4 linked regions of the Drosophila melanogaster genome follow. The protein of the gene in region 3 interacts with the protein of the main gene of each other region in a pairwise test. Each region holds a gene or a part of one and is shown on either strand. Other genes may lie near its edges.

Region 1 (6,342 bases), on a different chromosome or scaffold from region 3:
TCTTATTGTACTTTGAAAAAATGTACAATATAAAGACCTTTCAATACGTACACCAGTACTATCACTAATCGAATTCGAGCTATTTTGTTTATACATCCTTTGCGTGTCTAAAGTAATATTGTTTTTGTCCACCCACAGCGATTCTGTACAAACTGAAACTTGGCCAATCTGTTACAACGATACCCACTGTGGGCTTTAATGTGGAAACCGTCACCTATAAGAATGTCAAGTTCAATGTGTGGGACGTCGGTGGGCAGGATAAGATTCGACCGCTATGGCGACACTATTACACGGGTACACAGGGTCTGATCTTCGTCGTGGATTGTGCGGATCGGGATCGGATAGACGAGGCGCGCACGGAGCTGCATAGGATAATTAACGATAGGGAGATGCGCGACGCCATCATACTGATATTTGCTAACAAGCAGGATCTGCCTGATGGTTAGTATAGTGCTCAGCCAATTGTTTCCATCCGCTTATTGTTCTCTCTTGCAGCAATGAAACCCCATGAAATCCAGGAAAAACTAGGTTTAACTAGAATAAGAGATCGCAATTGGTATGTACAACCATCATGTGCCACATCCGGCGATGGCCTGTCCGAGGGCCTCATTTGGTTAACGTCGAACCATAAGTTATGAGAATCGTAATCGAGCATTTTCTTATATGTATGTATATGGCATGTATTATTCGAAGCGAAGCAAAAGCGAAAATATTCTATTTTATTTATACAAAGAAAACCAACCGCAAGCGCATAGTAAAAACTCAATTCGTAAAAACGAACGTACATAAATTACAAATGTTAAAAATGGTATATAGAAGTCAGATATATATAGTAATTATATATACTCTCAATTAACCAACCAATATTCTCACTAGTAAAAATACACATACCTACAAAATAAAAGAAGCATCAAAATAAGCAGCCGGTAAATATCCGTAAAGTAAATTATGCGTGAAGCACAGAGACATAAAGCAAAACATCAACGGAGATTAGCCTTAAGTAAGTTTTTCTTGTAAATTATATTGATGAGACACGTAAGCAATAAGTTGAAAGCTTGTTTATTGCAACTGTTACTATATTTGACTTGAGCAAGGGTGTAACGAGTCTTAAATAAATTGTAAATAAATATTCAAATTAAAGCCCATATACAACAACAAACGAAATAAAAGAAAACACCGAACAAACAATTGAACAAACCTATAGATTGCTATTTAGATTAAAACTGAGTCTTCAAAATATAATGAAATAGTAACTGTGCCTTCCTCAATGTGTGTCTATGATCCCTCATTATTTTCCCCACTCCAACAGCTAATTTTCTCAATCTGATATCCTTCGAGACGAAGAAGGTCCCTGGATTTGCGAGAAAGGCATATTCTGACTTCAGTGTCAAACGCATTTGGTTTGTATTGTGCGCTCAATTTGAAAGGTAAACATGCCACATTCAGTGCCATAATTTGCAGGGTAAATGAGCCTGGGTATACCTGAGCATGATTTGTTCAACACGGCGTTCAATAATTTACCTTTGTTTTGCAATCATCCCCGAATTGTCCGAAAAACTCCTTGGTACATCCTTGCATGAATAATATAATTTATTTTTTGTGGGTGTATGTCTTGTTTTATACCTTTACCGTTTTTATCAAAACCAACCTATTCATAATACCCCGTAATATCTCAGTATCTAAGATTTTTGTTGCTGAATTATAATTATAAATTTTAAGTTATGAAACAAATCATAGGTTTCAAAGTTATTTTCTGTAAATATGTTTTTGTATTATTATTGTATTATAATAATAAAAATATATAATAATTAGTAGAGTCACGTTTTACAGATGAAAAGGTTGTGATGAAGATGACGAGTTCCCAAATAAACGTCATCTAGCGATCCACGAAGTGACGAAGCGCTTATTGCCAAGATAATCTTGTTAATATTCTCACATGAAGTGACACATCCTATGAAATTTGTATGTAGAATTAAACGATTCCGACTTAATAAAGTGTATATATTGTTAATATATATATTATTAGTCAGGATCAATAGCCGAGTCAATCTTTTCTGTGTGCAGAATCCCAGAGTGTAGTATTTCCTTGGTTTTGCGTCTCCTCAAGATGCGTGTTTGTTCTTTCCTTCGTTTGCGAGTTATCTCCAGGATCCGTGGTCTCCTTAATATTTGGTTCACGAAAACAGCAGGTATATGTTGGAAAAAACTATTTATTTTTTGTTTACGATTTTAAGACGATTAAGAAATTGGGGTATTAGAAGCGCCCATGATGTCCTCCATGGTGTCTGTGGTGTTCGCCAAAGCCGCCTTGTCCGCCACCGAAACCACCTTGACCGCCAAATCCTCCCGGTCCGCCACCGAAACCACCTTGACCGCCATATCCTCCCGGTCCGCCACCGAAACCACCTTGACCGCCATATTCTCCGGGTCCGCCACCGAAACCACCTTGTCCACCAAATCCAGGACCTCCACCGAATCCTCCCTGTCCACCAAAGCCGCCTTGTTGACCACCAAATCCTCCTTGACCACCAGGTCCAAATTGAGGTCTGGCCAAAACTGCGGCCACCAGGGCAAGAACAACAATCTATAAAATAGACGAACGTAAGATCCTTCTACTTTCTTTCACATAACCCAGCTAGCTTACCAGTAGTTTCATTTTGCTTTAAATTATTAAACTGAAATCCGCTCTGAAAGTGGCCTCTTTATATACCCGATCTGTAAGCGTGGACTTAACTATGTCTCGACTTTCAGATACCTATTAAGCGTAGTACACTTACGATTTGACAAACGTATGTAAGCAAATGTAAACTTACAATGTAATAATTGTTTCGATTATTTGTATTTAATTTATATAGCAGAGGCTGGAGATTTTTAAAGACTTTTTATTTTCAAAATTTATAAACAAATGTGCCAACCTTAAGCTATTTATTTATACTCTCACCAAAATACGATTACCCTGTAAAAAATTCAACATGTTGATAACAGAAACAGGAGGTCATTGTTTAGATGAAAACAAAACAGTCGAATTGTTAATCACAGACAGCGGAACCACCAATTAGGCAGAAAGTATTGTTTTTTTGCGTTATTATTTGATTTTCATTTTGGGCACGTGTGCGAACTTTTTATGTAAAAGAACCTATTTAAAAAATAATATAATAATATGATGTCTGGAAAAAAATTAAATTTAATAGACAGATTAACGGTTTAAAACCAGACTATGAGAAAATTCATATATAAATTTTAATTGTATTATTTACTTTAATATGTCTATGTCTATTTGGATAGTACAGATTATTGATTGGAGTGCCCTGTGAAAAAAATATACAAAAAATCTGTCAAAAAAGTCTTTGTTTTGTTAATATGTAACAAACAAAATGTTAATCTTACAAAGAGGAAATATACTCAATATACAAATATAGACAAAAGTTATATATTTCGATTTGGGAAAAAAGTAGTATAATTTAAGAATTGCTGTTGCTAAAAAAAAGACCGATTTTGAATTTCTAAAATGCATTTCTCGAATAACTTGCAGAGGTTTATAAAATAGATGTGTCATTTCTAAAAACACAATCTTAAGAACTTGACAAATTGAATAAACTATTTAATGTTGCTTTAATCGACTGGTACTGAGATTAGTTCGGGAAATCGAAGATTGATAATTATTGCGGAAGTTCAATAGAAAGTTGTAATGGTGCTTGTATTTTTGGCATATTGATGTCTATGTGTTTTAATTCCTAGTTTAATGTGAGCAATAACTATACCTTAAGAATTAAGTCAACTTTTTCGCAAGATTTAATTTTTTTTTTTTTTTAATTTACTTTGTTATACTTAAAGTTGCCGTTTTAGTAACGTCCATGATGTCCATGATGCTTGTGATGCTCGTGGTTACAGTTCTCGTGACCAATTCCGCCGGAGAATTCTCCCTGTACAAGTTGGGGGCCTGCTCCGAGCTCTCCTGCGGCATATAACTGGCCCGATTGGGGAGCTGGTCTTCGGTAGCCTCCCTGTCCGCCGCCGTATCCCAACTTTCCACTCTGAGGAGTGGCATTGCCATATCCTCCCAAACGTCCTTGGCCCGAGAGTCCAAGTGCGAATTCATTTGGGGGCACGGATGCGCCATATCCTTTCTGTGCACTGCCGTATCCACCCTGAGTGCCGCCGTATCCCACCTGTTCAGTCAATGGAGCGGGTTGGCCATATCCACCCTGAACGCCACCGTATCCTCCTTGCCCGCCACCGTATCCTCCCTGCCCGCCACCGTATCCTCCTTGCCCGCCACCGTATCCTCCCTGCCCGCCACCGTATCCTCCTTGCCCGCTCTGGGAAGCTGATCCGCCGTATCCGCTTGGCGAGCTGCCGTATCCACTTTGTCCGCTCTGTGGAACGGATCTCAAACCCCACTGGGCGGTTGCTGCTCCGTCGTATCCCGGTCTGGCCAAGGTAATGCCCATCAGGGCGAACAGGACAACCTAAAGGGTAAATAAATTGAGGATTATGTAAACTTCACTGACCATTAGCTTAATCACCATTAATTTCATCTTGATATTTTTTTTCGAACTGTAGTCAATGCCAAAGAGTGTCTTCTTTTATACCCAAGCTAGTGGGCATTGCGTTTCGACATTTAGTTACCTGTTATGGACTGTCATTGATTTTAATTCAGTTTATATTGTCATAGTAGATATCGATTGGGGGGTATCTTGCTTTTGAAAGGAAAGGCTTTTTTGATATATTTAAGCAATAACTTTTCCGGATCTCAACATTCCCCTATTCCAGAATCTAAATTGTAGGTACATCCGCTTAAGAAGCACACATTCCTAATCAACTTCGACTACCCTGTGGAAAATCCCAAATTTTGATGGCGCTGAGGTCAATGATTAGTAGAAAAATAAAACAAAATTTTGGACACGGCAGGGAATGCTGCGATTAAGCAAGTGTATTGGCCTTAAAAATAAGTGGTATAATCAACTTGTAAAAAGGGCAAGGGCAATAAAAAATGTATAAATTTCATTGTCGCTAAAAATGTTACTTTATTAATGGCCTCGATTCAACGCTTTAAATTTGTGATAAATTTTTGAATACATTTCAATATATTTTGCTTAGAACCATTTATAGATAAGCTAGAAATAAATTATTTGTGAATTTGTAATCTCAAACAGTTTGTATATATGTGTTTGGTTTGATAGAACAAAATAGAACAAAAACTTGAGATTACATTTTGGCCGATAAGCAGCACATGTTTACTTTCGTGTACACTTTTTATTATTTATTTTATTATATTTATTTCATTTTATGAAACTAACTATGTTACTAAGAATGTTAGATAAACGTTTACGTTTTAAAGATACAATAGTAACTAACAAATACAATTCCTTGTAATCCCGCTTTACCGGAACGTAAATCAAAGATACAAAGTGTCTGAATGTTGAATAAAAGAGGCAGTCCATGAATTTTGATTGATTAAATAAAGTGCACTGCACTTGATAGGGCTTGCCACCCACCGCCCTCTCCAGTGGGTGGCACTCGCAGAGATTTGTCGGTGTGGGTGAGTGTACGAGTATTCGTGTATGTATCCTGGCGATGCGAAATGTCGCCGTTCAAATGTCAAGAACCAACCCCGTCGTCTCTGCTCGTCCTGCTCGCACGATGTCATTGCTCTCGCTCACACCGACGGGCATCCTGCGTGCACGTCTGTTACAGGATAACGTCGCTCTGTCTCTCTGTATTTCTATCTCGCTCTCGTTCGCTCCTCCCTCGACGTGGTGGGCGTGGCCATGCTGGCAAAGCGCTTTGACTTTTGCATTTGTTCACTTTTGTCCCGAGCATAAACTTCTGCCAGCCGCAGCTGCTCTCTAGCTTTCTCCCCCGCGAAGAGAGCGAGATTGCAGAAAGGAGCGGTGAAAGGAGCAAGGGAGGGAGCTGCGGGGAGGGGCTGTGGCTTGCCAGGATCCTGACTGTTGTATTCCGACATCTCATTTGTTACAAAGTTAATGTCGGCGCATTAAGCATGGCAAAAGCCCCACAACAAAATCGGGGAGCACAACGGAGCCCCCATGCCGCCCGTTTTGGTCCTGCGAGCAGCATTTATCGATTATTGGATTAGTGGACCCGGGACCACCTCTAGCTCTGGCTCTCTTATCCATAAAATTATAATGTATAGAGAGTAAATAAAAATGTGTATGCATAAATAAGACTACGTAGACCATTAGATAGAACATCTTTACACATTACATTAAGTTTGACATTATAAATATTTTAAGGTTATACTTTTTAAAATATAAAAACCCACTTCTGAGCATATATATTCTGTCTTCAGCATATTTTCTCGAACAGTTCACAAACTTG
Region 2 (9,469 bases), on a different chromosome or scaffold from region 3:
CTTGTCGTCGCTGCAGTACATCGGTCGATGACCGTAGGTGATGATCCACGGACGTTTGGCCCGATTCTCGGGCAGATTGGCCTCGGCCAGGTCACGTTCCAGCCACTCGAATTGCTTGGTCAGCAACTTGAAGCCATAGCTGAGGAAGTAGTAGACCTCCGTGGAGAAGGAGACAAAGTGCACGGGTCCCAAGTTGAAGCTGTACCACAAGCTGTCCGTTTCGCCGGGCATATTGAAGCGGGCGCGATAGTTGGAGAAGTTGCTGTGATGGGCCAAAGTAAGTTAGGTTTGAATAGTTAACACACCGGCATCATCAAATACTTACTACTTCTCCTCGTGATTGCCCGGACAAACCATGTAGGGCACATAGGCAGCCACCGACTCGATCTGGCGCATGAATGCATCACCCACGGCAGCGTTGGAGGTGTCCATGTCGTAGGCAAAGTCACCCACATGGATGATGGCATCGTACATGCCTCGCTCAGTGTCCTGCTGTAGTCGGCCCATCGACTGGGCATTCTCGTTGCCCATGTCACCGAAAATGGCCAACGAGGGCGACCACTTCTCACCCGCCGGTGGCGTCTTGAAATTGAACACCGCCGACCAACCGAGCGGACTGCCGCAGCTGTACTCGTACCGCGTGTCCGGCTCCAGATCCTTCAGTTCCACATTGTGTATGTACTGAGTGCGAGCCTTCTTTCCACCATCGACGAATCGCTGCCAGGTGCCGTTCACCATTATCGGCTCGTCTTTTAGATAGTTCCGCGAGAATTTAACCACCGAGGCGTTGGGGGAACTTCGAGTCGACCATGTCACCACAATATCACGAAGATTGTCTACAACAAAGTTCATTAGCTGGGATTATTCTCACTTTTAAAGACCCAATTTATATTTAAAACCATCTCGTTTTAAAAACAGTTTCCCCTCGAATTTCGTACTTAAGACTATAGAATCAGTAGGCCACAATCATTGCCACTCATACATAGTTGTTTTATTTGAGCGTATAACTGTAATTACATTTCATTAAAATATATATGTTTAGAAGGAGGATAGTTTCTTGGTCCGATTGCTGCGAATATAAATCATTCGAATTTGTGCCCGAATTTAAAATACTTTAGTATATGACGACATAAAATATCACAAAGTTTTTGAGTTGAGATCAGACTGGTACGGTCCATGCTTGTCCTTGACCACCCAGAAACTATCGATGACCTCGCCCTTCTTGTCATCGGACACCTGCTCGAAATGTAGATGGGTGCCGTTGTGGGCCTTCAGTCGAAGATACCCAAAGTCCTGGCTGTGGAAGGCACTCCACGGAGGCATGCGCTTGAAGAATGGCTCCCTGCCCTCGTGATTGCCGGCAGCTCCCGAAATGATGTGTATTGGTGCACCGGGATTCACATACGGCTCGGCCAGCGATCCATTGAACACGGTGTAGTTGTACATGGGCCACATCCGCTCGTAGCAGTGCTCGTGTGCCCACAATTCAATATCTACGCCGTACTGATAAAAGAGTGGCTCCAGCCCGAAGAAATCCAGCATGGGCAGACCCTTTCGAACGATTGTCTCATGATTGGCACAGTCATCTCCGTTGTCATTGCTGCAGTACATGGGCCGATGGCCGTATGTGATAATCCAGGGACGCTTCTTCCGGTTTTCTGGCTTGTTGGCCTCGATCAAATCCCGCTCCAGCCAGTCGTACTGCATCACGATCTGCTTGATCCCGAACTTAGTGAAATAATAGACTTCTGTGCTAAAACCGATGAAGTGCACCGGTCCAAGATCGAAGCTATAGAACATGTTATCCGATCCACCCGGCATGCTGAACCGATTGATGTAGTGCGAAAAGTTGCTATGGGTTGAAAGGGAAAAGTCCTTATATCAGTCATCATCATTATCATCATCGCAATTGGCTTGTGGTGTAGCACTTACTACTTCTCCTCGTGGTTGCCCACGCACACCATATATGGTAAGTAGGCGGCTATGGTCTCCACCTGGCGCATAAACTCGTCGCCGACCTCTCCGTTTTCCCAGTCCATGTCGTAGGCGAAGTCTCCCACATGGATGATGGCGTCGTACTGGCCGCTCTGCGTTTCACGCTGCAGCGCTGGAAGGGATGCCGCATTCACCACGCCCATATCGCCGTAGATCGCCAACGAGGGCGACCAGTCGGCGTGATCGAATCGCGTCCGAAACCAATAGGTGGCGGACCAGCCCAACTCACTGCCACAGTGGTAGAGATAGGTGCTATTCGGTTTCAGGTGGGACAGCGTCACCTGCATTCGGATGGGTTCATGGATTAGATGCCTTCGTTTGCGACTCTTGCTGCGTCGTTACTCACACGATGTATATACTGGGTGGCCTTTTTGGCTCCACCATCCACGAATTTCGTGGGCATTTGCGTCGCCTTCACTCGCTGATGCAGTCCATCGATGCCGAACTCACAGATTGATTCGTTGGTGTTGTCGCGCGTGTTCCAGGTGACGACAATGTCGAGCACGGTTTCTGCACAAGCACACTGATTAACTAGGAGCTTAACACTGAGCATGTCACATATTTACAACACTTGTCTACAAGATGAAGTCAACTATTAATGGATTCACTCACAAACCATTTGATTGATCGTTGAATTCTCAATTGAGTTGTTCCCAGTTTTATGATATTGAATTGTTTTATCCCAAAACAATAAGCACAATGAAAAGTTCAAGACATTTATTGTAAAGATACTAGGCATTTAAACAACAATCAGTGTACAATCGGATTGCCGTGACTATAATAAACCCGGTAATCGGATTTCATGTACTTATTGATAATAAAAACCGATCGGGTGCATATCCATTAGTCCTTTAACATTGATCCTAATAAGTATATCAAGTACATCCCATACACATTAAAAACAATTTGCTTAAGACAGCAGTTACCGAGTACCAGTTTTTGAACATCAAGTAACATGCGACAGAGATAAGAAACTAAGTTCATTTACGTTCTTATCAGCTTATGTTAAATGCACACTTAAAAGCGCTTGCATATGTGTAAATGCTGCGTTTGTTAAATTGGCTAAGTATAAAACTGTAGTTTGTTTCGGGCTGGGTTGAGATATTTGGATAAGGAATGTGCCACGCTTATTGCTATAGTTTGTGATCGAATCAGGTCGAGGCGAATGTGCGCTACTAATACTGCCTGTTGCTATTGATGCGTGTAATGCCTCGAGAGACTCCTTTAGCTTGAATTGATTCGGCTCAGGTTATGGTTCAGATTGGGAATGACTATTTAGTTTCGGTAGCTTCCATGCTTGGATTTCACCAACCAAAAGTCATCGATGATGGCGCCGTTCTTGTCGTCGGACACCTGCTCGAAATGGATATGTGTTCGATTGTGAGCCTTGAGCCGTGTGTAACCATAGTCCTGGCTGTGAAAAGCGCTCCATTCGGGTATTTTGCCCTTGAATGGTTCTCTTCCCTCCTTGCAGCCGGCGGATCCTGTGACGATGTGCACAGGGGCACTAGGATCATTGTACGGCGAATCCTTCAGCGTTCCATTGCGCACCTTGTAATCGTAAATGGGCCAGAGTCTCTCGTAGGAGTGCTCGTGCGCCCAAATGGCCACGTCCACGCCGAACTCGTAAAGCAGCGGCTCCAATCCGAACATGTGTACAAATGGCCAGCCCACCCGCGTGAGAGTCTCTGAGTGGGTGCAGTCATTGTCGTTCTCGTTGCTGCAGTACATGGGTCGATGACCGTACAAGATGATCCACGGACGCTTGTTCCGATTCTCTGGCAGATTGGCCTTGGCCAGATCCTCACGCAACCATTCGAACTGGAATACCAGCGGCTTTAAACCATAGTTGAGAAAGTAGTAGACCTCCGTGCTAATGCCCACGAAGTGCACGGGTCCCAGATCGAAGCTGTAGAACATGTTCTCCGTACCTCCCGGCATACTGAAGCGGGCACGATAGTTCGAGAAGTTGCTGCAACACCAACAATTAGATCCTGCTTCTACCAAAAAACACTCTACTCTCTGCTCTACTAGCTACTCACAACTTCTCCTCGTGATTGCCGGGAACCACCATGTATGGCAGGTAGGCAGCCACCGTTTCGATCTGCCGCATAAACTCATCCCCCACGCGAGCATTCTTCGTGTTCATGTCGTAGGCGAAGTCACCCACATGGATGATGGCATCGTACATGCCGCGCTGCGTCTCCTGCTGCAATCGGGCCAGGGATTGGGCATTCTCATTGCCCATATCCCCGTAGATAGCCAGCGATGGCGACCAGTCAACGGATGCCGAGGGCACTGTGCGAAACTGGAAGATGGCCGACCAGCCAAAATCGCTACCGCAATGGTAAGAGTATGTGGCATTTGGCTCCAGGTCCCTAAGCGTCACCTAAGCAAAGTAAACAATAAGTTTTTCTCTCTCTTTCTGGTACATCAACTGCGATGTCAAGGTGGATCGATTGATTGTTAAGAGATGGAGTGCAAGCAGTCCTGGCTCATTGGTTCTTAATTTGGTTCTAAGAGCCGGATTCAAGGTTGCATTCCTCTTACATTCTCACATCAATCTACTTGAATCGTTTGATCGGTTGCATACTCTATGCATACCCTGTGGATGAACTGCGTGGCCTGCTTGTGACCGCCGTCCACGAATTTAGTAGCCTTTCCCCGGGCCTGTTGGGTGAGCCTGACCTGTCCGTCTACCAGTTGACCGTACTCCACCACGCTGACCGCACCCACTTCCTGATCCGGCGGCAGGCTGCGCGTGGACCAAGTGACGACTATCTCGCTATCGGTGCGTTCTGCTTCAGAGGACAAGCGGATATCGAGAAACGGGGAAGAGTAAAAGAAAAACAAACTTGAGCAATTTCGTTGGTCCAATGTTGGTACGTTTCAAATGAAAGGAAAACAAACAATTAGCCCCCATCCGGCATCTAATATCATTTAGATTTGGCATTAATACTGATTACTAAACATGAAAATGTATAGATTTATAGTATAATATAAACAATGAACTCGAATTCCAGATTTGCCACGATAATGATTCGCATAATTAAAGTTGATTGAAACAAGTGCTACTTGGTTACTTTAATGAATAACTTCAATCCCATTAGCATCGCTTGTGCCAAATTGAATTTGAATCTGTAACGGGTGCAGGGTCGTCCAGTCATTCATGACCAAATGTTATTGTCCAATAAAACCCTGATATTTTTGCTTTGCAGCGACGCTCCATTGTTTGCTTCATCCTTATCGCCAACCCAACAGAAACTAGAAACTAGAACACAAAGCCAAATGGCCGGTGGGATGACGATCGACCGTATCGGCAAATATGAGGCCCCACAGGGAGCCAAAGTCTATCAATCTTTGGGTTGCATTTCAGGGTTTTGAAGTTTGCAATGCCCGCGTTGTCGTAGACAACAGTGGAACCCCAATATGGCGGAATAATGCTATTTTTTTTGGGGGGGAATCACCTGATTACAAAAAAGACTGGCCGAGCGGCTGACGTTTTTAATCTTGTTCAGTTTTTCGCCAATCGCACTACACAGCGATTAATTTTAGCATTGTGCACGAACACATTCACAGTGGCATACTTAAATTGTTTGTTAATGTTTTTGTGTTTGACCTGCCACCTCATCAGGCCTTAAATAAGCTTGAATTTATTGCTGCTTCCAAAAATTCGGAATTAGATGTTATCAGTTTTGGAGTTTTATGGGACTTTCGATTATTAATATAAAGCTATATTTATACAATATTTGGGGAAACCTTAGGTATTACCTTGTTGTAATTTGTAGGCTGTAACTAACGATCGTATAGATATTAACTACAATTAAATATAACTATGCATTGCGCCCGTTATTGTGGGTGCATTTGCATTTGTTCATCCCATTTATAGGGGCGACGACACTGATAATCATTTTATGTAGCAAATGATTCTGGGCGGGATTGGAAAGCAAGTATTGATATCACTCGATAAGTGCCTCTGGAATTGCGTACTATACGATCAATGTTTTTCAAAACCATATGTGATAATACACATAAAGGAAAATGTAAGTACAATGTAAGGTAATGTAAATAAAATAAACTTTCCTACGTGATAGATTTGTAATATTAGAAACTTATATGCCAAGCTATCATTTTTCTCCCAGTGTATTCTAACACTAATGCAACGCTGCAGGTGAGCAATTTACATAATGCGAAAAGTAAAGAAGATCGCACTCACCTCCAAAGGACAGATGCACTTGCTCCGGCTGATAGTGAACAATGTCGACGTCCTGGTCGATGGGAGTGCTCCTAATCCCCGGAAGAAGCAGCACCAGCAGGAGCAGCGACGCTAGCAGAGCGAATTGCAGTCTCTGCATTTTTACCGTTTTGTATTTACTTGTGTTTGTTGTTGCACAGTAACGCAGTCAGCAAAAACATTGCCAAATCACAATTGCGTCGTTGTCAAAGTGGGGACACTTGGCTCGGGGAGTCGTTGGAGTTAAACGGGGGAATCGACAAATTCGCTTGCGGGAACAACAAAAAATGAGCACTAATATGGAAATATCCAGCAATTTATAAGCGCAGCCACAACAAAAACAATCCGGGTGCAGTGTGACCTTGGCCGCCGAACAGCAAATGCCAGTGGTAACGATTGCACGCTGGCGACAACTATCGATAGAAAGCGATAAGTGAGCGCGCGATTTGAACTTGATACGTAAATAAATTACGTGAAAATGACAAATTTATCTAAAGCTGTTTGAATAAAAATGAAATAGCGTTTCAAATTCAAAACAGCTCAATTGGTTATTCTATTGTTAATACATTTCGACCAATTACTCAATTTCAATTAAATCAATCAATTAGAAATGTACGCATTATTGCAGAATATCTTTATTATATAACAGCATATGAAATGTTTTGGGGAATGAAGTCCCTCTAAGAGCTAAATGAAACTACACACAATTCGAGATCCTTTGTCGGTCCCAATTGAATGCTTGAAAACATGCGGATCGTTTTGTTCATATAAGCGCCTTCTTAGCAATAAACATAGAAGAATATATATATAGATATATAGATTAGGGTATATGGGTATAAATACAGGATAACAATAGAGAGAGAGAGATAGAGAGATAGTTTTAACAATACATACAACTAGGATAACTGGATATACGTATGTAAATAGGTTTAAGGATAACATTAGCATAACAACTAAGGACTTTTGGCAGCCTTATCGACTTTGTGGCATACATGCTGTGAAATTGGCAAAGCAATTCCGCTGGACGTGGAAATACATATGTATACGATACAGGTAATACATCTTTCGGACAAGGAAACCTAACTACTTCTCGGCGGGGGCACCACTCGATCCCGTGGCCGCTGCACTGGGCATGCTGCTCTTGCGCTGTGCTTGCGAGATCTGCACGATCCTCGAGAGCGGCGAGTGGGTGCTGCTGGTGCTGGGTCTCGTTCCGGCGGGCAAGGGCAGCAGCCGTTGAGCGGACGTTCCGCCAGACTCGTCGATGGCCCCCGCTGGCAAGGCGCTTCCACTTCCTCCGGGCGGCGACGTGGGCGACAGTTCGCGGGCCAGTGGCGAGGGTCGCAGCGAGAGGCGTCGCTGGAGCGCCGTCTGTGAGGACTGCTCCATCAAACTGGCACCTGGTGGCGGCGCCTGTCCCGGTGGAATTTGCAGAGCAGTCGGTCGCACGCTAAAGCGACGACGGAATTTGCTCTGAACAGTTGGCGCATTCGATGGACCGGCTGTTATTTGGCTTTGATTTGCGGCTCTCTCAGTGTAACTGGGTGGCGGTTCCAGCAGGGATCTGGCTGCCGGTGCGGTGGCTGCTCCACCAGTGGGCGATATGCCAACAATAGTGGAGCGACGCGCGTACAGCCGATTGGCAGCCGCCGCCTGCAGTGTCCTCGTTTGATCGCCAGCGAAGAGCGACAGGATCGGCGGCAGCTGCGGTGGCTCCAGTCCAGCATTGCCCATCTTGCGCTGTTTGCGGCTACCCCTCGATATTCCGCCTCCACCGGCAGCTCCTCCAGCCGCTGCCGCCTGTTGCTGTTCATCAAGCACGGCATGGGTGTGCACTACCTCGAGCGCACGAATCAGATCCGCAATGGTCGTCTGCTCCAGCACATTCATATCCTTTTCGGAGGTAACCGAGAATATGCTGCTACGGCGCGGAGCAGAGGTCAGCGATGATGCCGATGCTGTAGCTGGGAAGAGGCTGCCACGACGCGCGGCCACTGCCGCCATGGCCGCCGATCCAGAGCCACTGGTTGCCAAGCTGCCGCGTCGCATCTGCATCTGGGCCAAGGCGTGCGCGGTCGGCGGATACATGCTGCCCCGGCGAGCGGATGGGGCTTGATTCTGGGTGTAGATGCTCTCGCGTCGGCGCTTGCCAGCAGCCGCCTTGCGTTGATAGGCTCCACCGCCCAATGCCGATGGCGGGGTTGCTCCATCCTCCATCTGGAAGCCCATGTTCGTTAGCCCGCCGCCGCCGCTGGCCAAGCTGCCATTCGATTCGAAGGGCGGTGGCGGACCGCGTCCGTTGCGCAAATAGGATTGACTGGAGGCCGCCGTGACCGTGTTGCTGTAGTAGTCCAGCGGGGATCTGGCTTGCTGCGAGATGACACCCTCGGGTACCGAGACCACGGACAACTTGCGCTCCAGATCCTGCGAGGGGCGCTTCTTCTGGAAGGGAAACAGACGTCGCAGACCATCCGGCATGGAGAACTTCTTGACGCGACCGGCACCCGGTGATTGTTTCTTCAGCTGCTCCTCCAAAGCATCCGGCTCCAGATGGACCATGGTCGAGTTGGCTGCTCCGTTGGCACGCTGCTGTCCCTTGTAGCGCTGGTTGAATGCCTCCTGGATCTGCTGGTTGTCGCCGCTCCATGTCCATTCGTTGTGGCTCGAACGCAGTGGCCTCTCGCTCTGCCAGCGAGGTGCCTCCAGATTGAAATCGGAGCAGGCACGTGCTCTTGGACGTCGCGGTGATGTGAACTCGTTGACCGTCGAGAACGACCATTCGCTGGCCAGGATCTGGGAGTCGGAGAAGCCATGATAGCCACCATAGAGAGCCGCATCTTCCTGTTCCGCCGGCGGTGGCTTCACCGTGGCCAGTGCGTTGACCACCTTGGCCAGCAAATCGGTGGTCTGGCGGTACGCCTCCGCCGTCTCGAATGTCTTCTCGCGATCCAGTTTGCTTAGCTCCGTATCGGAATTGGCGTGTACCATGCCCGCCTCCCTTTGGGCGGCAACCATGTCGGCGCACACGGAGAATGCCCTCTTCCGGCTGGGAATGGGAGCCGGCTCCACGCGGTACATGCTCAGATCCGGACACGAATTGGAACGTGGCAGTGTGTAGGCGATATCTACATCGGTGTACACAGGCTGATAGTATTAATACGATATAACAAATTCGGTTTCATATATGTATAGTCAATGTAATGTAAGAGTTTCGATTTCCAGTCCATGTGTGTTAAAGTT
Region 3 (8,153 bases):
TTGTATTGTGTTATCAATACCTTTATGTGAAAAATAAGCGTCTGAGTTTTGATCAGCGCGGTTTTATTAATACATTTATAGGATTTATCAAAAGCATCTCTAATATTGTTTATGGATATGGTTAAGTTTAGCCATTCCATGTATGTACCTTTTAGCGATGTAATCGCACTTGTACCTTTTTGGTGTAGTTTCTATTAGATTTTGTCTAAATCATTGGCTCGACTCATGTAAGTCTTTTCAACGATCTTTTGTGAAACTGATAAAGTTTTAAGGCCAGGTTAAAAGGCTGATAGGATAACTAAAATCAAAAATAGTAAGTACATTGAATTTAACTGTGGGGTTGTATCCACGACTTATGTCCCATTTTGATATGGGGAAAATTAGTCTTTATTTGTATATCAAAAGTACAAATAGAATTTTAACTTTGAGAATTGGTCAATTATTGTTATCTCGATCAGATATAAATATAGCTCGAAATTTTAATAGGTCTAAACTGTTGTTAAACATATTTTTACTTGATAGATGAATTCATTATACTCAGTTTACATCGGTTGCAATTTGCAATTTTACAATATTATTACTTATTTTAAGTTTAGGACTGAGTATAATGTGTTAGTTATGAAATGGGTCCCTGATAAGTTAGTAATTTTGTTGCAGCGGAAACCGCATCGACAACATTAATATAATATTTGGGCGGTTGAGGCTATGGCGTATAACGCAGCCCGCCGCTTTACTTCGCACCACGAAGTTGTTGATTGATGGCTGCAAGGCGCTCTTTGTAGCGCTGCCGGTCTTCCTCATTAGTTGCCGTCTTCAGTAGTTCGATGTTGAGCCTCCGGGCGCTGAGCAACTTAATCCGGCGGCCACCCCTCTTCTTTTTAGGTGGCTGCTCCCTCGCTGCAGTCCGTGCCTTGTACTCTTGTATGGTCAAGGGCTTTGGTCCCGCGGACGGATCTACCTCTATTACCTCTTTGATACTTGGCAGATCCCTTTGCTCGACAGGAGCAGGGTGTTCGAACGTCTGCTTGGTAGACATTCGCTGTTGTCATGTGCGGCGCGCCGGTGGAATCCTTTATCCTTTATCCTAATCCTACCCTCGCAGGATGCCGTGCTAATTGCTGTTGCGGCTTACAATGGTCGAGGGCAGTCGTTCATGCAGACGTCGGGTCTTTTCGGCTTGGGTGATGTTGAATTTTCAGTTATTTCTTCATTGATTATTTCTATTTTTGCTGAGTGAGTTGTGGTATTCGGCTTTCTTTGCTGGAGGTTTTCTTTCAGAAAGTCTAATTCGGCAGTTAATTTCTGTGCCGTTGCCCATGGGGGCGGTGTTTTATTTGTATATCATAGCCACTTAATATGTGCTATACCTTTATTTTTGATTTCCTGACATCCGCGTTTGCCCATTACCACACTCTACTCACTCAGTATTTTTGTTTCTTTTTTTTTTTCATCAGTGTCCCGTCTCTAGGTCTCCCGCACTGGTGTAAGGGGCGGCCTGCCTCTCACACCTGTTGTCGCTGTTTAGAATTCCCAAATCAAATCGGCAATATTAGCAGCATTTCCTCAGTAGTCCTCAGATCGCAGGCTCCTGCCTCACGGTCGCCATGTAATAAACCAATATATGCCACCAATTGAGAACACGTGTTTTCCTTGCAGTTGGGTGCAGCCGTCAGGCCACCTTTTTATTTCTTCTTATCTCTTCGAGTAGCAGAAACGGTTCTGCCCGCTTAACCTCTACAGAGTGTCTAATCTTACCTAAATACTGCGACTGCGCCGCCGTCGACAGCGGCAGAAGAGCAGCGTATATATATATGTATAAGAGAGAGAGAGAGAGAGCTTATGCGCATATATGGCCAGCGGCCAGCGTGGGGATGCTGACTTAGCTTAAAGCATAAATGGGTGATCTTATATCACGCTCACTTGAGACATTTATTTATGCAATGCAACTAAGTGTTGCTGTGTACTTATAGGTACAGTGTACCCTCGATATATGCACATACTACATGCTATAAGACGCGAAGAAAAATAAACCAACTGCCTAACGCTATTTAAGCTCGTATACGTTTAGTATTCATTTTTATCCGTACTCTGTTAAAGTGATAATCATAGAACAAGATTCAAACACACCGGTCTTTTCATTATTCCTGTATGTTATTCTGTATGTGTAAGCTATTCCCGGCTAACGATATGGATTTCCTGTATTGAAGAAGTTTTAAAAACTTTTTTCCGGAGTTATTTCAATGTACAACTTTACCGAACCTTTACAATGTCAACTATTACGAGTATATACAAAATACATTAATTTAAACAAATTTTGCATTAAAAAACTGTTAAATGAATTTAAAAAGCAAGAATGAACGAGTTCCTCGAATATCAGATACCCGTTACTCAGCTTAAGCATTTAACATCCTTGTTGGCATATCGATAGAATTTGGAAAGAAAAGACTATTAAAAATATGAAAAAAGATCGAAATATTTTCCAAAAGTGGGTTCGCGACAGGATTCGGCGGGTTTTGTGCGTTAGAGTGGGCATTGCAAAAAGTTTTTTATCAAATCGACAGAAATTTACAAAACTAACAAGAGAGAATGCGAGAATAGTCGAGTTCCCCGACTATCAGATACCCGTTACTCAGCTAGTGTGAATGAGAACGCGAAAGTATCATTTATTTTGGGATATCAAGAGATATTGGGAAATAAAATGAAAAAAAATTTAAAAATTGTTCAAAAGTGTGGGCGTGACCGGTTGTGCGGTTTGAGTGGGCGTGGCAAAAACGTTTTTGGCAAAATCGATAAAATTTACAAGACTAATACATATGTGAACAAATATCAACACATTTTTCAAAAGTGTAGGCGTGGCGTTAGAGTGAGTGTGGCAACATGGGTCAAACTTGCGCTCCGTCTATGTTTCTAGAATCTGTATGCCTTTTAGCTTTTATAGTTCCTGAGGTCTCGACTTTCATGTCCAGATTGACTCGGCTATGGATCCTGATCAAGGATATATATACTTGATTTGGTCGGAAACACTTTTCAACGAATCTAGTATCACCTTTTAATCTGAGTAACGGGTATAAAAATAGGAAAATATATCAAAACAAACAGTGGGCGTACCGGTTTTGGGTGATTTGAAATAAACTTGCACTGCGCCTATGTCTCTAGAATCTTTATGCTTAATCTCAACCTTCTAGCTTTTATAGTTTTTGAGATCTCGGCGTTCATATGGACGCATAGACATTCGAGCAGACAGACAGGGACATATAGACTCGGCTATTGATCCTGATCATAACCTTTGACTCTACGAGTAACGGATATATAAATATCAACACATTTTCCAATGGTGTGGGCGTGGCAGCTTTGGCAGGGTTTGTGGGCGTAGCAACATGAGTAAACAAACTATGCCTCTGAAATCTATATGCTTAATCTCAATATTGTAGGTTTTATAGTTCCTCAGATCTCCACCTTCATACGGACGGACATGGAGAACGAAAACTAGGAAGGACAGGAATACATATGTACATACATACATATGTATGTATATTGCGCTTGCTGTAATAGTTGTGTAGTTTGAATGAGTTTGAACTCTGCACTGAAATAGGTCGGTTTTTAAATTATTAGTGCCACCCCACCACCAGCAATAGGCCAAGTATCGGCATTCAAAGCAATGGGAAAGGAATAGAAGACAAAATCGATAGCTTAGAAATAGTGTCAGCTGCGTAAAAAGTGGCTACACCTGCCACACGGATGACAATGTAGGGTAAAATACACACGTCAGCCGTATATTTCTTAGTACTGCGTAATAAACCAGTTTGGATATACGTATGTGTTAAGTGTTAATACATACAGAAATACTTTATAAGGTGGAAAAAGCGTTCTTCTACCTGTAACATCCTTTTAAGTGAATTCTTACTCTACGATTACCGACCATTTCTAATACTTTTTAAATACTTTAGCTTGCAGAAGCAAGCATCCATGTTTATTATTATATTATTATATTTAATATTGCTACTACATTGTACAGTGTTTGGTAGTGTTCCCATTGCTGAGTTAATAGTTCCTTAATTGATTTGCGCCCAGGTACCAGACGACCGAATTTGGAGAGCAGTTTTACGGTCCTGTCAGACTTATTTATATTAAACCGTTTTTAGTTTAAGCAAAATATGAGTTTATGTTACCTTGAAATTAAACGATTAGTTTGATTAAACCTAACCATTTATCTCTAACAAAGTTAGCTATTTATTTGAGACGACAACCAAATCCTGACTCCTTGACGAATAGTGCGCTAGTGCGATCTGGCCACTGTGCGTAACTGGTGGTTCCCGCTCTCACCAATTGTCATATTCATACACGTGTATTAACATATGAATCAATGTCCGCCTAGCGGCTTTATTGAGAGGATTTCCCCATGTCCAGCTGCATGTGTGCATAATGATGCTTCTGGTTGATGGTTGCGTGCCGTCGCCTACTTCCGGAACCCGCTTGTAGGCGGGTGGCGGATATATATAGGCATTACCCACACTTCACGAGCTTTTGACTGACCGTTTGTGTATCTCCAATTAGGCGCATCCCAGCACCTGGAGCACCATCCACTACGACTTGGAGCAACTTCGCGAGGCATGTATCACACCGGACCGCAGCTCCTGCTTGCCGCAAGCACGCAAACTAGTCAACAGAATCACTCTCCACACTCTAGATCTCAGGTAGCACAGGGAGAAGTGCATATTGTTCGGTCGCATCCCTCACTTAAACCACTTTCCACTCTCCCACCAACATACATACACACAATTACTCCTCTAGGGCAATACTAATACCAATTTGTATGGCGCAAGGGACCGCATCATCTATTGCAGCTGATTGGTTTCACCCAAATATTTATACCTTTCAAATTTAGGACCAGGACGCAACGGTTCGCTTGATTAACTCGCACCCGCGCTCTAATCAGAACAACAGCACTTTCGATGGATGTTTTCAAGTGAGACTTGACAAACAGTAGAGCTACGATGTGATAATTCCAACGGAGGTATCGATAGCGCATGGTCATCGATACCTCACGCCAATCAACGATTGCTGAATGACTCCACTATTTGTTATCTTATCCCGGTGCTGGAAACATTATTTCAAGAAAATCAATTTTGGTTAATTTTCTTTTTATTACGTGTTGATGCTAGAACCGCTTTTTCCCCTCTCAGCAATAAATCTTGTATTGCCGAATACAAACGCTATTTTAATGTTGGTCTTTTCGTAATTATGTTTAATATGAATGTTCAGTAGCAATTGCAGGTGATTTTGAGTTGCCATACCAACATCTACACAGTTCGGGAGCTGCCATACTGCAGTATACAGAAGTCGGGAGTTGCCATAATTTTTTACTAAAGTAGACTGGATTCGAATCGTAGATAAAAATTGTATAACCCAGATTGATTATAAAAGAAGCAATGTTAAGTTTAGCTAAAAGGAGATTCGATTACTGTCATAAAACTATGTTTGTAGTGAAAATTAAAACAGGATTGTATTCAATTTTTGCATATACATAAGTCCCTGATGACATCAAATGAAATGCCAAGAAAACGAATGCAGTCGGACATAGGCATATAGAGTCGTCTGGAGATTCCGATCAAGAAAAGAGAATCAGGAACATTTACATGATATATATACCTTCCTCCCATTAGATAAATCCTCTTCGCTTTCGCGGTGGTTTATGAAATATATATAACTTAGCACGTTCTCTACTCAACAACGCTTTAAAAAATTTCCACCGTGTTTTAGCTCTCCTTTTGCTTTTGATTTAGCCCTTAAACCAACCTTCTTGGCAAGAATAAGGTGGAATCGGTTTATGTTATATTACACGTTACACGTTACACGTGGGCTTGGAAATTTTGTGATTCTTGTGGGCGTGGCAACACGGACATGGCTAGATCAACTCGGCTTTTGATCTTGATCAAGAATATATATAAATTATATAGTCGGAAACGCTTCCTTCTGCCTGTTACATACTTTTCAACCAATATTGTATACCCATTTACTCTACGAGTAATGGGTAAAATAGAAGTGAACCATTGTTGAATGGTTTTAAATTAAAAACCTAATGATATTATAAATACATTTTGCCCATTAAAAGAGTATATCATAGGATTTTTTCTGTATTCATACCAGGACTTTGAAAAATTTGATGCTTGGGGATGAAAAGTGGTAAAAGTGTAAAAGGATATATGTAAACAAGAGAAAATGTTATACTCGATTTCCCGCTCATCAGATACCCTTTACTCGGCTAGTGGAAATTCGATCGCCAAATTTTATAATTTTTCCAGGATATCGATTGATTTTGGTGAATAAAATGAGAAAAAATTTAAAAATTATTGGCGTGACAGTTTTGTTCGTTTTGTAGGTGAAAGAAGGGTCGTGGCCACATTGTTTTGTATACCGATAAAACTTGGCAAGACAAATAATAAAACGGAAAATTCTAAAAATATTTTAAAAGTGTAGGTGTGGCAGTTTTGGGCGGTCTTTGGACGTTGAAGTAGGCGAGGCAAAAAGTTTTTTGGCAAATCCATAGTAATTTACAAGACTAATAAAAATATGAAGAATTATCACAGAATTTTTCAAAAGTGTTGGAGTTCCGGTTTATTCTTTACTTTATTAAATAATCTTTGCTTTAAACGTGAGAATGTATACATATTATATTATTATATTATGTATACATATTACAGATTCCATATAATTATGAATTTGTTATTTTTATCATTACTTATTTAAATATTCATATACTTTTCTTCACTTGTACTAAGCAAATGCTCTTCAAAATAGGCTTCTCATATAATTTACAGCACTGGGAAAACGTTTCTAATTTTTGAATTAATATTTGATCCTTTGGGGTATTTCTATATAACATTAAATATATTATATGAGTCTCTTCCTGTTCATTTACATTGCACACCTATGGAGCTACACATCTATATTGCGAGTTTTATTTACGAATATATTTCGTCCTACTTTGCGTATATTTAGCACAATCGTAACAGAATTTTTAATGTTCTCCAATCTGTACGATTAAAAAGCACTTCGCTTAAGAATATTGCTATATAGACCCCGCTCAGAATTAATTTCGATATCTTCGCTTAATTGCAGATTTTCAGCTATTCCTTCTAGGCTTTTCACTTAAGTATAAAACATATCTGTATGTATATACATAAATGTATTTATATGCGAAATTCACCAAAAATAAACTTGTTTTTTCTTGGTAACAGTACTCTACTGTCTCAATTATCTACCGGTAACATTTAACCACTTCAGTTAAACACAGGTACATCGATTGCAAATTGAATAAAAAATAAAAAAGAATAATTGTACAATAGAAAGGATTCCCGAGGAAGTGAAAAGTTTTATTAGAACTTGCATTAGAACTTTTTCCGAAATGTTGTGTTTAAACAAACACACTGACACGCGGGCTTGATTGACAGAGAAGGTTTTGAAACTCAGTTCAGAATCTTGCACTGCTTCGAACAAATCGATGTTTTGGAGTTTGTGGAAGAGCTTAACATCCTGCGACCTACCCAAAATACGAAATCCTGACTAATCAAACATAATAAACAAGCTTAACTCGACACCGAAGAGGAGAGAGTTCCCCCAACTACAATTTTTTACTTAATTATTGCTAAGACCCCAGCCACCCTCACTCACTCACACTTACAAGCCCCCTCTCGTCGCATCAGCCGACTTCACCACCCACTGAGCACCGTTATTTTATTACTGTTTACCGTCCGAGCGTTACTATCGACGTCCCTTTCCCGCGTACAGAGTCTTAAGTCTGGCGACCCATAACGGAAATGTGCCAATTTTAGTTTCGGTACGTTAATTGTTTTCCTGTCCGCCCACACACCCCTCTTACCACGTTTTCTACTCTTGCATCCAATGGAAGGTTTCAAGTGCATTAAAAAGATCATGGGTGGTAAATTAACTTATTGGGGCGTCACTTTGTAGACCGTCGTTCCTCAGACGGCAGGACCGCTAGTTAACGGTAATTGATTCAATGTTTTTGCTGCTATTACAAACAATTATATGTATTTATGCACACTATATACAGTAAGTCCTATGATATACATACATACAGAATGTCATATCGTTTCAAAATTAGGGTTGTAAATTAAAAAAGACTTTAACAA
Region 4 (8,214 bases), on a different chromosome or scaffold from region 3:
ACGAAATAACACTTGCAGCCAGAATAGTGCAATTAAAAATTCCTTGCCTAAGGGAAACGGAGGAGAAATGCCTCTTATTCACATTGCGCATACGCCACGTTGGACGCTCTGGTTTTGGTTGGGCAATTAGCGAATTCAGAGGCGGAGGCTGGGCTTTTGTAATCAGCTGAAATTTCGATTTAATTAGATTACCACACAAACACACACACACACACACAAAGGCGCAGATGCTTGGCTGGTTACCATTTCCCCGCAGAAGCCCCTCATCCAACTCATACTACATATATGCTGCTGCACTTGCCGCTTGCTCAAGCGTCATTAATTTTTTGCCATTTGGGTTTTCTTCGCTTGGATTTTTTTTCCCCCCCGCATTCGAGCCATTGCCAAAGACAATAAAACCGCACAAAGCTACAGCAAATATCGGTGAAGCCGCAAAATTGCATACTTCCAAGGCAGAAGAATGGGTCTGAGCGCCCATTCGACGACCCCCGGGCTCAATTACCTAAGCACGGATCAGCTTTGAGGCAATGCCAATCGGCATCAAGCGAAATCTGGCAAATCTGCCAAATTATTTCAATTAAAATTGAATTTGTAATGCAAGGGTAGAGCCTGTGCGAAATGACGAATGGGGGAATACGCTGCTATAAATTGGAAGTTTATAAAAATAATAATGGGCTTGTTGTTTGAAATATTTGGATTCACGGATGTGCAACTTCTATTGATAATTTGATAATTTGTAGAATTTTAGCAGGAGCCCAACGAAATGCAAATATCCCTTTGAAATACCCTCCACACATCCAACATTCATTGGGCAATCGCTTACACTCGAATCGCCAGCAGTGCAGCGATGAGCCAATGAAAGACTTTTGGCCAGACATGCGATATATTGGCCATAATCAGGCGGCTCTAATCAGAATCGGAGGCAGCATTGCATTGACCCATGCCGGCATTCACAATTGCCCATTCGCTGCGGCCGGCGAATGCAACAATTCAGCATTTGTAGAATGCAGAGTGCGGAATGCAGAATGCAGAATGCAGAATTAGCAGCTTCGACTTTCGGCTTTTGCCAGCTCATCATCATCATCAGCAGCAGCAGCAGCAGCAGCACCATCATCGGACGGACTCAAATATCAAACTGTGAATATTTTAGGTTTGTCATTTGAAATTCAAAAGCGTGCCCGAATGAATGCCAGTCAATGCTACCAATCGTTTCTCGAATTCTTTGCCACCAGTTCTGCAATTTTCGCGTGCGAAAATGAGCAGCTGGAATCATGGGCATTAATATGCAGCAGCAGTTGGGCATTACTAGCTGGTGTGGGTGCTCGACGTATTCGTACTCTGTACCCTATAGTTGGCTAGCTGGGTAGTTGGCCAGTTGAGTCTCCCCCGGGCTGAAATTAACATGTAAAACATGCTCGCCCCGATGTTCTCAAAAGCCCGTGCACTCGACTGGCCAGCGGCCATTTGTCTATCGAGTGTCTGCCTTTTGGTGGGCGGATGTGGCAGTGGGTGGTTGGGCTCCTGGTTTTTATTTTTGGCTTGGTACGCTTCCGTGCCTGCTGTTATTCGCCCAGTTCGGGCCAAAACAAGAATGGTAAAAAAAAAGGAGAAGAAAATAAGGGGAATATAGCGGCATTGGGGAAATGGAGAATCGCTGGTGAAAAGTCAAAAAGTTACAAGCGGCAAATTACACGCGTCTGGCTGGAGTTCTACACTCTGCTCTCAAACTCTATTCCTTTGCTATCGTCTGGTGTACCTTTTGGAAGTTATCTGCTTGGCAGACCAGACGCATCAGAGATGGAGGAGTGCACTGCGAGAAAAACCGCTGAAAAAAAACATGGCTAATAGAAGAACATTTAAGATCTAACACTTTGGCCTCAAACATTGCATATATATTGCGTTTATTTTAACTACTAGTTATGCTCGTCCATTAATCACGATTACGTTAATCGTAAAAATTCATTCGAGTAATTACATGATGTATGACCAATTAAATTTTAATTAGATATTGATTATGTCTTCTTTGAAAATCTTCATACATTTGAATGGCTTTCATTGAGTACCTATTAATATAATTTTATATCTCAATCTTTTTAGACACTTTTGGTTTTTGAAGAAATCTAATTTTTCTCCTGTGTGCTCACGTAACGCGGAATGGGCGGAGGTACATTGGATGGATTCCAGACAGTGTGGTCTGCCGTCTGGACCTGCATTGCATCCAAGTGTCGCACCAACAATTTAACACGCCCCAGTTACAAAAAATAAAAGGACATCAAGGAGCAGCCAGCGAAACTCGCGTCTGTTTTATTTTGTTGCCTGCTTAAGGGCGTCGTCCCAAAACGCGATTCAAAATGCTTTAACAATGGCGAACAAGTGAAAGTATTTCGCAGTTTACAAGTGTGCTCTTGATTGCGGGTTAACTTCTGGACTTCCAGGAAAAGTATTCAATACTGTAATTTCACAATAAAATTGTGAGAATATGGAGAATTTCCAAAGCGAAATGTGTAAATTAATAGGTAACAGAAAGGATTTTGGATCACCTAGAAATTTCTTAGTTGCACAACTCTTTCTGTGTCAATTTACAGCAATTTGAAACAAATTATATAAATATTTTTACGAAACTATATTAGTAAAGTATAAAGTATATTTTTCAACAATTTGATGAAAAAAAACTTGTGTCAATTTAGCACCAGCTAAGAAAAGTTTGCCTACAAAATAAAGTCAAGTTGGAGCCTTATATATTTGCAATTGTTCAAGGGGAGCAAAAAGGTTTGCAATTTTCCTCAGATGATGCCTAAATACGAAAGGGGAAATATATTACCAACATGTGTCCTCCGCCTTACAACCTTTTAGCCTTCTCCGAAACTCAAGTGTTTAGTTAGGAACAATCAGGGAGTATTGCTTAGATTTGGGGCGTATTTTACGTGGCACTTGGCAAACGCAGATGTTGCCAAATATTGAATGCGTATCCATGGAGGAGTACGTACAAGTACATATGTATATATATATATATATATTAACCAGAGCGGAGTGGAGCACTTAAGTGTCTTTGATTATTTGCAATTTGTTCGATTCGGCGGGGTTACTTTGGCCCCTTCGCCACTTGACTTTCGTGTGTGTGTGTGTGTGGACTTGGGTTTTGATTATGATGATGATGATGAGAGGCTCTGTGGCAGACGTGTGGCAAGTTATGCAATCATTTTCGTTGCCATTGACGGCAAGTGTTACCAAAAAAAAACGAAAAAAAAGGAAGGCAAACAGTTTGCCAGGCACTTGAAACAACCAGTTTGATGGGTAGTTGCCTTCAGTTCTCCTAGCAAATCTCATTTAAACTTTCCCCAAAAGCCGCAGCAGAAAAATGACATTGTAGACGAAAAAGGACACTGAGTGACCACGGGTCATTTTTCCCTGCCAGCGATAAACAAATTTGACATATAACAAGCTTAGCTTGCTGGCCTTTCCACACACATACACATACATGCAAACATACATACATATATAGTTTCGCTTTAGCCAAAGGACACGCCTGCGAAATCTCATATGATTTGTTTGGCCAACTGATTTATGTAGGCTTAGCTATGTTTTTTTTTTCCAGGCCCAGAAATACATGTCCTTGTTTTATGTACGTATGTATAAATACTCACAAGCAGGACGAACGACTTGAAGGACATCATTTTGTTAGTTGAGTTTCGATTTTACGTTCACAGACGATGGCAAAAAGTAGTGTATCCACAAACGCCGCTGGCTGAAGTTGAAATTGAATTGAATTAAATTAAATTCATTAGAGTTGTCAATTATTTCATTTATATTGTTTCGAGTTAATCGAGTGTCTTTTGTGTTATTTTTATGATTATTGCACACTATTTAATTTGTAGTCCTTCGCTTGCCACAATAGTTGTATTAACTCTTACTTTCACCGGGCGGGGGAGGGTTTTATTTTTTTATCACCGGTTGGATTTCTCAACTAGGAGGGGGCCTCAGTTAAAGAGGAGGTGGTTTTATCTTTTTAGGTTCGGCTAGATTGATTTCCTAGACAACCGCACGAAGTACACGAACGTTTTGAATTAGGTTAGACAATGGAGATGCGCTTGCTTTTTATAATAAACGCTCAAAGACGCTGGCAGCGACGTCGGCGGCGACGGCGACTGCGGCAGCGGCGGTAGCAGCGGCGTTCGCGTTGCCAACTGCACCTAAAAGTAACGAAAAAGCGGTTTGAACAATTGAGGCAAGTCTAGCGCCTAACTTCTAGATCATCTGCCTCCGTGGAGCTGGAGCCAAGAGCATCCACATCCACGAGTCTCTCAGAATGGCCCAAAGAGAGCGCAGCGTTGCTCTCACCGTTTTGGCCAAGTCTTGGTGTTGAGGTGGTGAAAAATGTTGCAGATCATCGCCGTGGCACGATCATTACGATGATGGGTAACGAGATGATAAATGAATGGCTGGCACGATGATGATGAAGCTCGGGCGGATGTATAACAAGATGAGTTCGAGTGGAGAGCCTGCAACGCCCCGAATGACTTCATTAAATACTCGGCCAAATTTGATATTTAAGCCAAGCTTTTATGAAGTCTGGGCCCTCGGGCGATGCAGTTGCCATCGAGACGATACGAAAATGTCACTGGGAATGTCAGATGATAGGTTTCGTTTTAGCCTCCAAAGATACAGTCGCCCTTTTTCGAAATATCTATATATTTATTTTTGTTTGTTTTTTCTTCTTTTTTTTTTTTTTGCCATTTGGCCTTTGGGAAAGCATCAGAACATAGAATAAGTTTGGTGAGAAGTACGTGATGCGGTTGCCCGGGGAAAATTGCACAAGCTGCACAAACGTGTTCATGTGGCGTCCCAATTTCCCGCAGCACCTCTGCCAAAATGCAATCTATGACGTGAGGCTCATGCCAAAGATCCGTAGCCGAGGCCCCGAAACTCATCCATTGGCCATTGCACAAGGCTGGCAGACGTGTCGAGTGCCTTTGGGCCAACTTCCTCCTTCCAACCAACATCAACCGCATGGCTCCTTTTCTTCCGTCAGGCCTCAAATCCCATCCCATAACCAATTAACCTTGAATGTATCACAGCGCCTCTGTACGAGCCGAGATTAAATAACAATTAAAAGCAATCCGATGACTGATTTCAGAGTTTCTTCACATTTTTATTGACCACTTGCGAGGTGGCGATGTGTGCGTGCGTGCGATATTAAAATTAGATATTGAAATTATTATGGGGAGCAATCAATCGAAAATAGCTACACTTACAATCAACCCATCTTATAATCAGTGATGCGAAAATCTTGTACCAAAATCGAAATGTTATTACCAATTACACTGGGCTATGACTAAAACTATTATTAATATAATATTATATATTTGTAATATTAGATATGGTATTAGTTTTCAATAGCTGCAATCTTAAAGATACTCTAATATCTCAATATCTTATTTTTATAAGCAATTTTATTAGATTTTATTAGTTTGGTACCCATTTTCCAAGGTAACATTTCGTGTACCTAAGATGTTACCTCTATCAGCGCCGCTTACACCTGCTGGCAATCTTCAATGGACCGCTGTGAAAAGTAATTGAACAACTTTTGGTTACTTTTAACTTTAGATTTCCGTGACACTTGAGCTGCGGATACACATGTGCGCGCGTGTGTGTATGTGGTGTGTGTGTATCTCAAACGGTCTTCTTCACGCGGAGGCGAACGTACTGTCAAAACGATGTCTTAACAACATAATACCCGCCGACAATCGGGGCCAACTGGCAACTGAAAACTACCAACTGGTCCGATTGTTCGGATTGTTGGGATTGTTACCCATATCGCAAACTCTGGGGGCAAATTGAAATTTCTTTTGAGACGCTCTCGAAATCAAGTGCAATCGTTGGTAGCTGCGATTACGAAAGGATTTCGACTTAAAATGTAATTAGAGCAGTGTGATGGGGCGAATTCGATATTATATAAGGCCGCGCTGAAAATTCCCTTTTTGATTTGTTCAACAATAACTTGACATCAATTGGGCAACTTTTGTTTCGCTGTCATTGCCTTTCGGCCGGCAGCTGTTGCCACCGTTGCAGTCTCGGTTTCTTCGGCATTTCGATCATTTTTCAAAACGTCCAAAGTAATAAAGTTTTGCAAATTTCCCGCTTTTAATTCATCAAGTGGACACTCGAGGGCTCCGGCTCCAAAGCAATGCGAAACGGAAGCAAAACTTAGTCAAACATTTCGTGGGCTTCAATAGCCATTTGTGCATTATTTCACTTATTTTTTCTCGTTTCTGTCGCCCAGCTGTTGACATTTTAAACTTTATTGAATTGTTGCAGGCAAGTGGAAGACGAAATAAAAAAAAAATTAACATTTAAAAGAACAGACTCAAATTCTTCGGCAGAAGCATTTAAGATGATTTTTTCCTCGAATTTGTTTTGCCCATTTCGTGCAACATTCAGGCGAATCACCTGTTGATGCTTGTTGCACGTTGTTGCTGCTGCCGCTGCTGCTGTTGCTGCTTTTAGTGTTGCAGTTGCTGTAGAACCAAAATAAATTCCAATAGCCCCAGTCAGGCGCACCTTTTTCAAGCTAAAAATGAGTGAATTAGAATAGCCAACTATGTAATTGCCGCATTTTATTGCCACCAGCATTGGATGTTGCTGCTGCTGCAGCAGTTGTTGCTGTTGCTGCTGCCATCGCTGGCATTGTTAGTGTTGTCGCGACCATTGTTGCAACTAAGCGCGGTGTTTTTTTTGTTGCAGCGGCAACTTGATGTTGCTGCCGCCATGGCCCTCTGAATTTGGTGTGAGAAGTGGTCGAAAACGCGGCGATCTTTGTTTTATTTTCCAGTTTTGAGTCCAGACGGATGATTTGCATTTATTTCGGCGCGGAGGCGCGTTTCTTACCATTTGCTATTTATAGACTAAATGTCTTGGACTTCTGATGGAATAAATGGAGTTTTCGATAGACTCGCGGTGAAGGCGCATCAAATGTCGTCCGATTCGCTTGGCATTTCCCCCACGATCATCGATTTTCTAACTGGCATTCGAAGTACAGGTAAAATAATTTGCATAATATATTTCTTAAATTTTGTTTTGTACTGTTCCTGCTTGTATTAATTTCTGCTGTGCTCATTAAAAACTTGTAGTGTAATGATCGCCTGAAAGTTGCTAACGGCTTCTTTGATTGCTTTCATTACGGCCATCTCCTTTTGGCACTTCCTTCTGATTTGATTTGATCTCTTTGCCGGAGTTTCCTGTTGATTGCTCTCATTATTCCAGCGAGCAACTGTGATAAGTTTTTCCAGCTATGCTGCTGCTACTCCTGCAACAATCTTGGGGCTAAAGTCGAGCTTTCCCTGTCACTTGCCACACTTGCCACCATTTTTCTTAATGGAAATTTTCATGCTCTTGGCTTTTCTTTAGACAAATTAAGCGAATTTTTTCTGCGTTCACACCTTCCCCAACTGGTGCATCCTCATTGTCATCGTCATCTTCTGCACTTGCGTTCATTGCACCCTCAAAAAAAAAAGCATACACACACACACACAGAAAAGAAAAAGAAAACGGATAAAACATAAGACCTGAGGAAAGAAGAATGAATTCGAGGCAGAAAAAAGTTGTGGAAAACTTTGCACCTAACATAAATCACATCTCAGACCAAGTCAACCGCCCCTTGGCCACGCCCATTGTCAGTGTGTGTGTGGGGCTGCATTTGCATATTCCAATTTTGCATTTAATCAATTTACGCCCACCCACCCACACGCAAAAACACTGCGTTACAATGGAGGATGGCAACTCTGGCAGCTAGACAATTACCAGCATTCCCCGACATCGCCTGCCTGCTCGCATCATTTATCCTTGTTAATTTTTATTTAGTCAGTCAAAGGAGGGAAAAAATCCCTCAGCTTCAGCTTCAGCTTCAGATTCAGCTTCAGTTTCCCTCTGGGTTACATCCCGAGATCTTGAGCGATTGAGCCGTAACCTGCGTTGACTTGTTTACGTGTTTTCTCCGGAGCACGGATACAAAAGCTCAACAACAGATACGGATTCATTCCGGCAACTCTGTGGGTGGGTGGCACCTGCAGTCCATTCGGCATCTGACTGACTGCAGCAGACGGCGAACAAGTTAAGCGGAAACGGGGGACAGAGGACGAGGGACATCGGAACAAGGACGAAGCTGATTGAGACACATGTCCAACGGGCAGTGGCATTAACTTGTAGTCAATTAAATGC

Evidence for each region.
Region 1: the proteins of Tsp39D (region 3) and CG8157 interact in a two-hybrid assay, tested with the Drosophila melanogaster proteins (one large-scale study listed by BioGRID).
Region 2: the proteins of Tsp39D (region 3) and CG1637 interact in a two-hybrid assay, tested with the Drosophila melanogaster proteins (one large-scale study listed by BioGRID).
Region 4: the proteins of Tsp39D (region 3) and Cpr50Cb interact in a two-hybrid assay, tested with the Drosophila melanogaster proteins (one large-scale study listed by BioGRID).

What each region holds. Positions count from the first base shown.
Region 1 is NT_033778.4:15,323,707-15,330,048, forward strand, and holds CG8157 (uncharacterized protein), read right to left. Parts: upstream 2,681-6,342; 5' UTR 2,657-2,680; coding exon 2,645-2,656; intron 2,585-2,644; coding exon 2,255-2,584; 3' UTR 1,797-2,254; downstream 1-1,796. Other genes in the region: Arf6 (ADP ribosylation factor 6), read left to right, coding at 139-441, 496-638; CG8160 (uncharacterized protein), read right to left, coding at 3,843-4,469, 4,527-4,538.
Region 2 is NC_004354.4:10,871,204-10,880,672, forward strand, and holds CG1637 (uncharacterized protein), read right to left. Parts: upstream 6,596-9,469; 5' UTR 6,351-6,595; coding exon 6,212-6,350; intron 4,797-6,211; coding exon 4,600-4,796; intron 4,385-4,599; coding exon 4,038-4,384; intron 3,968-4,037; coding exon 3,271-3,967; 3' UTR 2,697-3,270; downstream 1-2,696. Other genes in the region: Ork1 (open rectifier K[+] channel 1), read right to left, coding at 7,313-9,354.
Region 3 is NT_033779.5:21,341,456-21,349,608, reverse strand, and holds the start of Tsp39D (tetraspanin 39D), read right to left. Parts: upstream 5,003-8,153; 5' UTR 4,873-5,002; intron 1-4,872.
Region 4 is NT_033778.4:13,790,636-13,798,849, reverse strand, and holds the start of Cpr50Cb (cuticular protein 50Cb), read right to left. Parts: upstream 4,074-8,214; 5' UTR 3,912-4,073; intron 3,746-3,911; 5' UTR 3,675-3,745; coding exon 3,645-3,674; intron 1-3,644.